Tribolium castaneum: one gene and its partner. The protein of the gene in region 2 interacts with the protein of the main gene of each other region in a pairwise test. Links are inferred from orthologs where the notes say so. Each region holds a gene or a part of one and is shown on either strand. Other genes may lie near its edges.

Region 1 (4,307 bases), about 2.5 Mb from region 2:
ACACTTAACTGTTAGGTAATGCTTTTAGACAGACAATTTAAAGGTCTTTTAGATGCAAAAAAATAGGTTGTTTCATTTAAAATCAATAATTTATTCAACTTTCAAAAAAACCTCTTCATTTTTTATCTTTTTGATTACAGTAAGTTAAAAAATTAAACCCCTTAAATTTTAACTTTCTTTTTTAAAATGGTAAAAGTCATACTTTTCTAGATTCTTAGTTTTTATAAAAATATTTATTTAAAGCGTTTTTTCCTCAAAGAAAAAATTTAAAAACTAAGCAAAATCGAGCTGTATTCCATGTCAATTCATAAGTTCATAGTAGAATTTTGAAAATGGAGCACAAAATTGAAAGTTTCTGGTGAGTTTTCTTAGCTCAAAACGTGTTGCTGAAAATTATAGTTTAACACAGAATTCTTTTCTTTTACAGAAACTCTCAATTTGTGCTTTATTTTTCACTTTTCACTCCAAAAAATTCAAATGCTTTATTGCAACTCTACTATAAACTGAAATGTTGTGTGTTTCACACAACTTCACGAGTCCTGCGTCTAATGTATGCACCCAAATATACAAAAATCACAAAACACTAGATACGTTCAATTATACAATTTTTGGAAACCCATGACAGTAGTTATCAAACTAACCACTGTTTCATTAATTGTCATGAATTGTTGTTTTCAGGAACAATTTTCATGTGTTTTATCAAGAGAGGAAATGAATGTGATTTTACCCTATCTAACTCAAATAACTAACTAAAAACGTTGTAATTTTTAGAAGGGGTGAACAAACTAGAGAAAACTATCCAATTTAAAAAAAATTGTAATCGAGTTCGTACTGGAATATGTATTGTTGATTGTATTTTACAGGCGCAGGCCTCGTAAAACTACATCTAACACCCTGTATAACAATTTTGCTTAAAAACATCAGTTTGATATTTTGTCCGGTGTGAAAGTGGTTTGTGTTCAGATATCTTCGGAAATTGAAGGAACTGTCTTCACACAAGTAAACTATAGCTGGTCCGCTGCAACTTTGCCGTTTTCTGTACTTTGGCACTTATTTTATTTTTATTAATGTATTTATTCTCGTTTAAAATATTTACTTTATAGTAGTTTAAATTGTGTAAGTAACAAATCATTGTAAGAAAAGAGGTAACAAAGCTAGAATTGGGGTAGAGGTGTTGTTTGTTGTTTAAATTTGGCGCGCTGCGCGTCAAGGTCAGCGTGGGGCGCGCCCCCTGTCGCCATTTTCCGCAAAAGCTCCCCTGTGCGATTGTGATGTCTTCTGAAAATACCGTGGAGGGTGGGAGCAATAATTTTCTATGTGTGAAACTGTTGCAAATGGTGCTTCAACCCGACCACTGATGTGTAATAAAGTACTATGTCCAGTTTGAAAATCGGTGAGTGTTTGTTTGAGTGTGAAAAATGAATATCTTGTTTTGGTCCCACCCCCTGTAGCATCGGCCCCCGGCATGTAATCGTCTCTCATTGTTGTAGTGGTAGAAGCATGAATGTGGGCTAGCACTAGATAGTTGTGCTTGTGGTCATGTTGGAGACCAGATCTGTTCGGGGAATGCCAGAGCCTTCTTGGCAGTCTAAGAGTAATTTCGGCGCTAAATCGACCCCCCATGCGATGGCTGCACCAAACATACGACATGGTAGTCTGCCCCTGGATTTTCAAGGGGGCCTTTTGTGATTGTGGGGTGTTTTAGGCAAAACTGGGCAAGATGACATTTGCCATGTTGTGGCCAAGTACGATTACGCCGCACAGGGCCCCCAGGAGCTCGACCTCAGGAAGAACGAGCGCTATTTGCTCCTCGACGACTCCAAGCATTGGTGGAAAGTGCAGAATTCGAGAAATCAAGCCGGTTATGTGCCAAGCAACTATGTTAAGAAAGAGAAACCGTCACTTTTTGATAGTATCAAGAAAAAGGTAACGGTATGTGTATGGGGCTTTTATGGGGCTCTTAAATTTTTACGCTTTCCCACTGTTTACGCCAATCTTTAATTAGATAGCACATCAAATTTTAACACTAATGATTCGTTTCCAAGCTCTTGAATTAAGAAAACAAACAACTGGGTCAGAAACTACCGAAAGTTTTTTAATCAAGACGGCACTTGACTTGTTCAAGGCCAGAAATTGACTTGGCTATATATTTGACGGGAAGAGACAATATTAGGCGTAAAAATAATTAAACTTTTTATGTTGGCATTATGTAAATTACCCAAGGACAAGCGAGATAAGCGTGTGTCATCTCCAGAGATTTTTTCTAAAAAGGAAGCATAATCAAGCGTAAACATGAAATTATAAAGCCTTAATTAAACATTATTACGTTTTATTTTCAACTGATTATTGTTCAGGTAGTGTTTTGTGTAAATAATATTTTTTAAAATAGTGAATAACTAATGTCCGTTCCAAATTGGTGTGCTGTATTTAAATACTAACTTCCGTTGCTGGGTAACACCTGACATAATGTCAAATTTAAGCTAAATATTTTTTAAAATAAAGTCGATTTTATTGAAAAACAAGTGGAAACGTAATTTTCTTCGACTCTGATCTTTGATAGCCTAATATTTTTTATGTTGACGACATTGTTGTTGGAAGTAATTTGCCTTAATTTCACTATTTTCCTTATGAAAAACCTTAACTTTAAGAATTAACTTAACTTTCAAAGAAATTCTAAAAAATGTTATGTTATTTTGCCTTCGATTTAGTTTGTTTTTGAACCACAAAGACTTATGTTTTTTTATGTATTTACTGTGCAAGATTTCATTAAAAACGTGCCCAAAAAATACAAAATAAGTTTAAACTGATGTAATTTTGATGATAAACCGAAAAATTACCAAATAAAATCTAAAATGGTGTTAGTTTTAAGTTTTTCAAACATGTAAATGCTTTTTTGATACGAAAAACCCCAAAAATCATTAATTAAGTAGACTATTATCATTTTTCAGGTGGTATCGCGATTAGTTATGACTGTTAGTTAATTAAAAAATTACTTTATATTTTAATTTTCGAACCTATTATTACGTCTACAATCAAAAACATAGGTGTTTCACTTAGATTAAAATTTTTAAAGTGCTTTAGAAATATTTCAATAAAATACACAAAGAATCACATAATTATGTGGCATTTTTTTCCAATACAGCCAAAAAATTTCGAAAATGACAGTTACGATGTTTCGCTTGATTTAAGTTGGTGAGTAACAATTTTTTTAGTAAAACTTATTTAATTAATAAAATTAATAATTAGTAATAAATAAAATTATGATTACTTTCAATATACTTTTCTTGAACACATGTGTTATTTTCTATAAAAACACAAAATTATGTTAATTGTTATAATAATTTTTGCTGAATTTTTGAAACTTCCTGTTCCCTTAATATTAAAATTCTCTTAAACGTTCATGAGAAAATTGACACGGATAAGTTGATTTTGTAACAGTGTTTTGTTATCGCCATCAGATATGAAAACAACTCTAGTTAACGGGACGACAAAATGTAACTGAAGTTTAACATTACTAGAAATCTGAACTTAATTTTATTGTTTATTTGTAAAGAAGTATAAGGCGTAAAATAAACTGAGTGAAGCGTTACCGTAAATCCGTTATGAATTATGAAATGAAACATCAATCTAATTGGCCCGAGGGGCCGTTAACTTGAAAAAAAAAATGTGTACTTAGAGGTAATTCTAATTATCAAAAAAAAAAATTCACGGAAATTCAGTTTCCAAAAAAATTACCGAAATCACAATAATTCATCGTCAGAATTAATTAATTAATCAATTAATTCCTGTAATTCTAATTTAAAAGTTGTAATTCCAACATAATTTCTATAATTCTAAGAAATTGAACGTACCAAAGGTAATCTGGAATAATTCCAAAAAGAATTCCGTAACTCCGAAATAAATTATATAAATTCTAAAGATAATTTTAATAATTTAAAGTACATGATTGTAAGCAATTCCAATCGTATTTTAAAAATTTGCACAACTAACTCTACACGGCTTCTCGATGTGTTTCATAAAACAAAAACAGTTTGACGTAAGATTGTCTTTTTTTTACAAATGAGCAACCAAATAATTTTAAAAGTAATAAAACACTCGACACTTCTGTGTCTTATTTGGCAATTTTTTCTACACTCAAAAAGAAAGACATCTCTATTAACAATAGTGTGGCGTACATTAATAAAAAATAGTATGAGAAATCACATAGTAAAAAATGAAACGAAAGTAATAATTCCATTTAAAAATTAACCTACACGTAGGGCAGAACATCCGAATTAGTAATAAATTTAAACTTGCATTTTGTGCAA
Region 2 (3,827 bases):
GTTTTTCTTCTTAACAAAATATAGATGAAACTAAAACGTTAACAAAATAATAAATAATTTCGATTATAAAATGATACTTTTTTAATACAAAGACTGGTCATAGAATTTATAGAGGAATAAAACCGAAAACAGGAACTACCCTGTAGCTACAAAAAATCGCATTTTCGATCAATCAAGCGCAAAAGCATAAAAAGAAGCTAGTGACAACGAAACGAAAAATCCCTACGCAGCGTTATTGTTGTGAAATTAGGCACACGTCTCCTGTCACTTATACGAACATCAGACCTCTATTAAATGCTTACGTCCCTAATAAAATACGACCCATATAACTAGAACTGCAAGCTAAAATAATAAAATATACGATTATGTTACATTATTGTTTTAAAAAAATCGAATGCATTTCTAGTAACATGGGAATATAGTCTCTCACGTATATATAATACAAAAGAAAATTGATAACGAACAGGACAAAAGCCTGAAACTTATCGCTAGTGTTGTTTTGCCGCTTCTTTCGCCGCCAAAATGAGCGGCGTCAGGCTGGCCAACGGTCGTGCCAACTTTAAGAAGGGATGCTAAAACAGGAATTAATTACTTCAAATCAGGGTTACCTCCAGGTGTTTTACTTTTAATAAATCGCGCGCCGACGCCCTTTTGTCGACTTCCACAGCCAAACATTGGTCTAGAAAATCTTGAAAGGAGGGCGACAACTTCTCCTTATCTTTAATATCGGGTTTGCCGTTGGTTGCAATCAAATACAGCGCCCTCAGCGGATTTTCGTTCAAATACGGCGGCTCACCTTCGATCATTTCGATCGCCATGATGCCCAACGACCACACATCGACCTGAAATCATCCACTTACGTTTGTACCTCTGTTGTTTGTAAAAGGGTAATAAAGCCATCAGTAATTAATTTTTGCGCAGTAAAAAACTAAAAGTGATCGGTATAATACAGGGTCCCAGACTTTTAGCTGACAGCTGACATTTAACTCAGTTAAAAGTTCCTATTAAGGTACTGAAGTTCCTATGACAAAAAATTGTGAGTTAAGTAAGTTAAGTGAGTTAAGTTTTTAGCTTATTAAATTATATTTTCTTGATTTAGTTAAAGGAAATTGCGGACCTTGCAATATTAAGCAGATACCTATTGAAAAAAATCAACATACTTATTTTATACAGAATACTACATTTACAAAATAGGCAACTTCGAAAATAAATAAATAAAACAACATGGGAAAGAAAAGAGCAACAAATGAGAAAAAAAAACAGAAAAATTGCTCTTGAAACAAAAATCTGATATAATTTTTATGCTTAGCTAAACCTCATACGTCGCCATTCGAAAGTTGGTCCGACACTTTTGAATCACTTTACACTCTGTATAATATTTTGCCCAGTAAAAATAATAAACGTTTAGTATCCAATACGCAACAGCAATGCGCCACTTGGCATTTTGAAGTAAGGTTAACTAGCGATACGGAGATGAGCTAGCAACTTGTGTTTTTTTATTTAAATTAAATTAGTCTAAAACTAAAGATTACTCAGATTTCAAATTTCAAATATAAATCACCCCTAACGCAAAAATAGACACATTTTTTTTTTCTTTCAAAGTTAGATAAGGATTTTCAACATCTTTCCGACATTTCAAAAATGTGAGGAGGCATTAAAAAATTTTATATAGCTAGGGACAACGGGATGAAACCTAAAATGTAACTAATGTTAGTTTTGAACTTCCCCTCGTAATATTAATGTTTTTCCTTGAAAATACTTACTCGTAAAATAAAAAGTTAATTTAACTTCATCTTTTAATTTATATTTATTGGTTTTTCAATTGGTATTCAAATTCGTTATTTTGGTCCTCAAATCCTTAATCCCAACCAAAAAAAAAACCTAAATATTAAATAAATGGACACTAACTAATATAGTAGTATAGTAATATAGTGTAAATGCTACTACGTGGTAATAAATTCAACTGTAGGTATATAATTGCGAAAGACTTTTTATCATTACCTCGAATTCTTTTTTTTTCCAAAATTTAAATAATTGCTTTTTTAAAGTTGTAACTTTAGAATACTACTTTGAAACTGGTGTGGACTTTTGGGCGTCTTCTATCACACTGTTTTTTTCGATTATTTTGAATTAGCGGGCTGTTTCAAATTTGTTGAGTTATAGTTTGTCCGATTTTCAACTTCATCTATTGAAATTATTACGTTTGCATTTTTCCGTGCTTAAGCTAAATATACCTAGACTTTTTATTGGTACCCACATTACAATATCTAAACAAGAAAGTTTACACATCCATTTTTTCTGACTTCACTCAATTCAGGAGCAATTTTTGAAGGCTCGAAGTAAATAAGTACTCACTAATTTCAATTTCATTGAACTATTTTATTCTTGATAGTAAAACAAAAAGAAAAATACGCAACAGTTTCACATATTTGTAGACTTTTGGCAGCTTAACTAATAAATAAAATGTCACGGTGCAGTTCGATTTTTTTAAGCTACATTTAAATCTGTAAGCCTAGCTTTGTGAAGCGTTATCCTGCAGTGACACCTTAGGGTTTACTTTTTTCACCTAAAGTTTCTTGTTTTTATCTAGCGTTTACTATTAGCGTTTAATTTTTTCCAATGTAAATTTATTTACTGTACATTTAATATTTTTACTGAACGAAAACATTTTACGTTTAAATAAAATCTCGTGCACTTAATTTGTGCCGTTTGTAAAATTACCTTAGGGCCGTATTGCTTCCGCGTGACGACTTCCGGCGCCATCCAATAAGGCGTCCCCACCATCGTCGTTCTTTTTGATTGTTCGGGACTTATTTGAGCACAGAAACCGAAATCAGCTGCAAAATAATTAGTTAGAAAGGAGAGGTTGGATATGGATTGGCGACGTACTTAATTTGACGGAGCCGTCAAGTCCGAGGAGAATATTGTCCGATTTAATGTCCCTATGGATGACTTGGTTTGAATGGAGAAAGTCGAGCGCTTGAAGGACTTCTCGACACACAGCCGCGATTTGACCCTCGTCCATGCACGTCTCCGTTACTACGTCAGTCAGTGAACCGCCTGGTAAATATTCCATCACAACCCAGAGTTCCTGGAATTCAACATCAACAATGGGTAGGAAAATAAAGCATTTTAAGCAGACAAAACCTAAAAATTATTTTCAATTTGTTCTGTAACTAAACTTATTTTTTTATTTTATAATTAAAATTATAAATTTATTCAAAACTGCCAACTAAAAACAGGGTTATTCAAATAAGACTGGTCTAGTAAAAATGCGACACAAAATAAATTTTATAAAGCTATCGGGATTCCTGTTATAATATCATGGTTAAATAATACATATGTATGTATTAGCTGTTTCAAAACTATATAGAAATGCCAACGTTCTTTAAAATGAATTTACAGTTCCAATAAGAGATCTAATCATTAATAACTATTTTACATTTTTATCAACCTTGTTTAAAAAAATAATTCGGTAAAATGCGACGTTGGCGTTTCTATAGTTGCTACGGTAATGTTTATCTGATTGGTGTTGCTGTTTTAACTGCGGTTTAAATTTAATCTCTCCATTAAATACGTTACCAGAAATTGGGCCTTAATTTTTTTTAAACTTTACAAAAAACAATATAATAACTTTATATTATTATGGATAATTTTTTTTTCGTTAAGCTCATTTTGATTTTACTTTTTAGGCAATGGTTTGTTAAACTGTTCATTAATTTATACGTTTTACAATTATATAATTAAAATACATTTATATAATTCTTTTAAATCTACGTTAAGCGAAGAAAAATACACCACTTACCTCGTTCACAAGATAACTGTCT

The links.
Region 1: the proteins of Pak (region 2) and dock interact in a two-hybrid assay, tested with the Caenorhabditis elegans proteins (2 studies listed by BioGRID). The link is inferred for Tribolium castaneum from reciprocal best matches to the Caenorhabditis elegans genes pak-1 and nck-1.

Annotation. Positions count from the first base shown.
Region 1 is NC_087398.1:11,591,574-11,595,880, forward strand, and holds the start of dock (SH2/SH3 adapter protein dreadlocks), read left to right. Parts: upstream 1-1,211; 5' UTR 1,212-1,374; coding exon of another isoform or gene 1,375-1,393; intron 1,394-1,451; 5' UTR 1,452-1,539; coding exon 1,540-1,651; intron 1,652-1,705; coding exon 1,706-1,932; intron 1,933-4,307.
Region 2 is NC_087398.1:14,076,301-14,080,127, reverse strand, and holds part of Pak (serine/threonine-protein kinase Pak), read right to left. Parts: coding exon 3,806-3,827; intron 3,092-3,805; coding exon 2,890-3,091; intron 2,838-2,889; coding exon 2,722-2,837; intron 843-2,721; coding exon 624-842; intron 573-623; coding exon 489-572; 3' UTR 1-488. UniProt on the Caenorhabditis elegans protein: Required for hypodermal cell fusion, together with cdc-42 and ced-10, leading to embryonic body elongation, which involves dramatic cytoskeletal reorganization.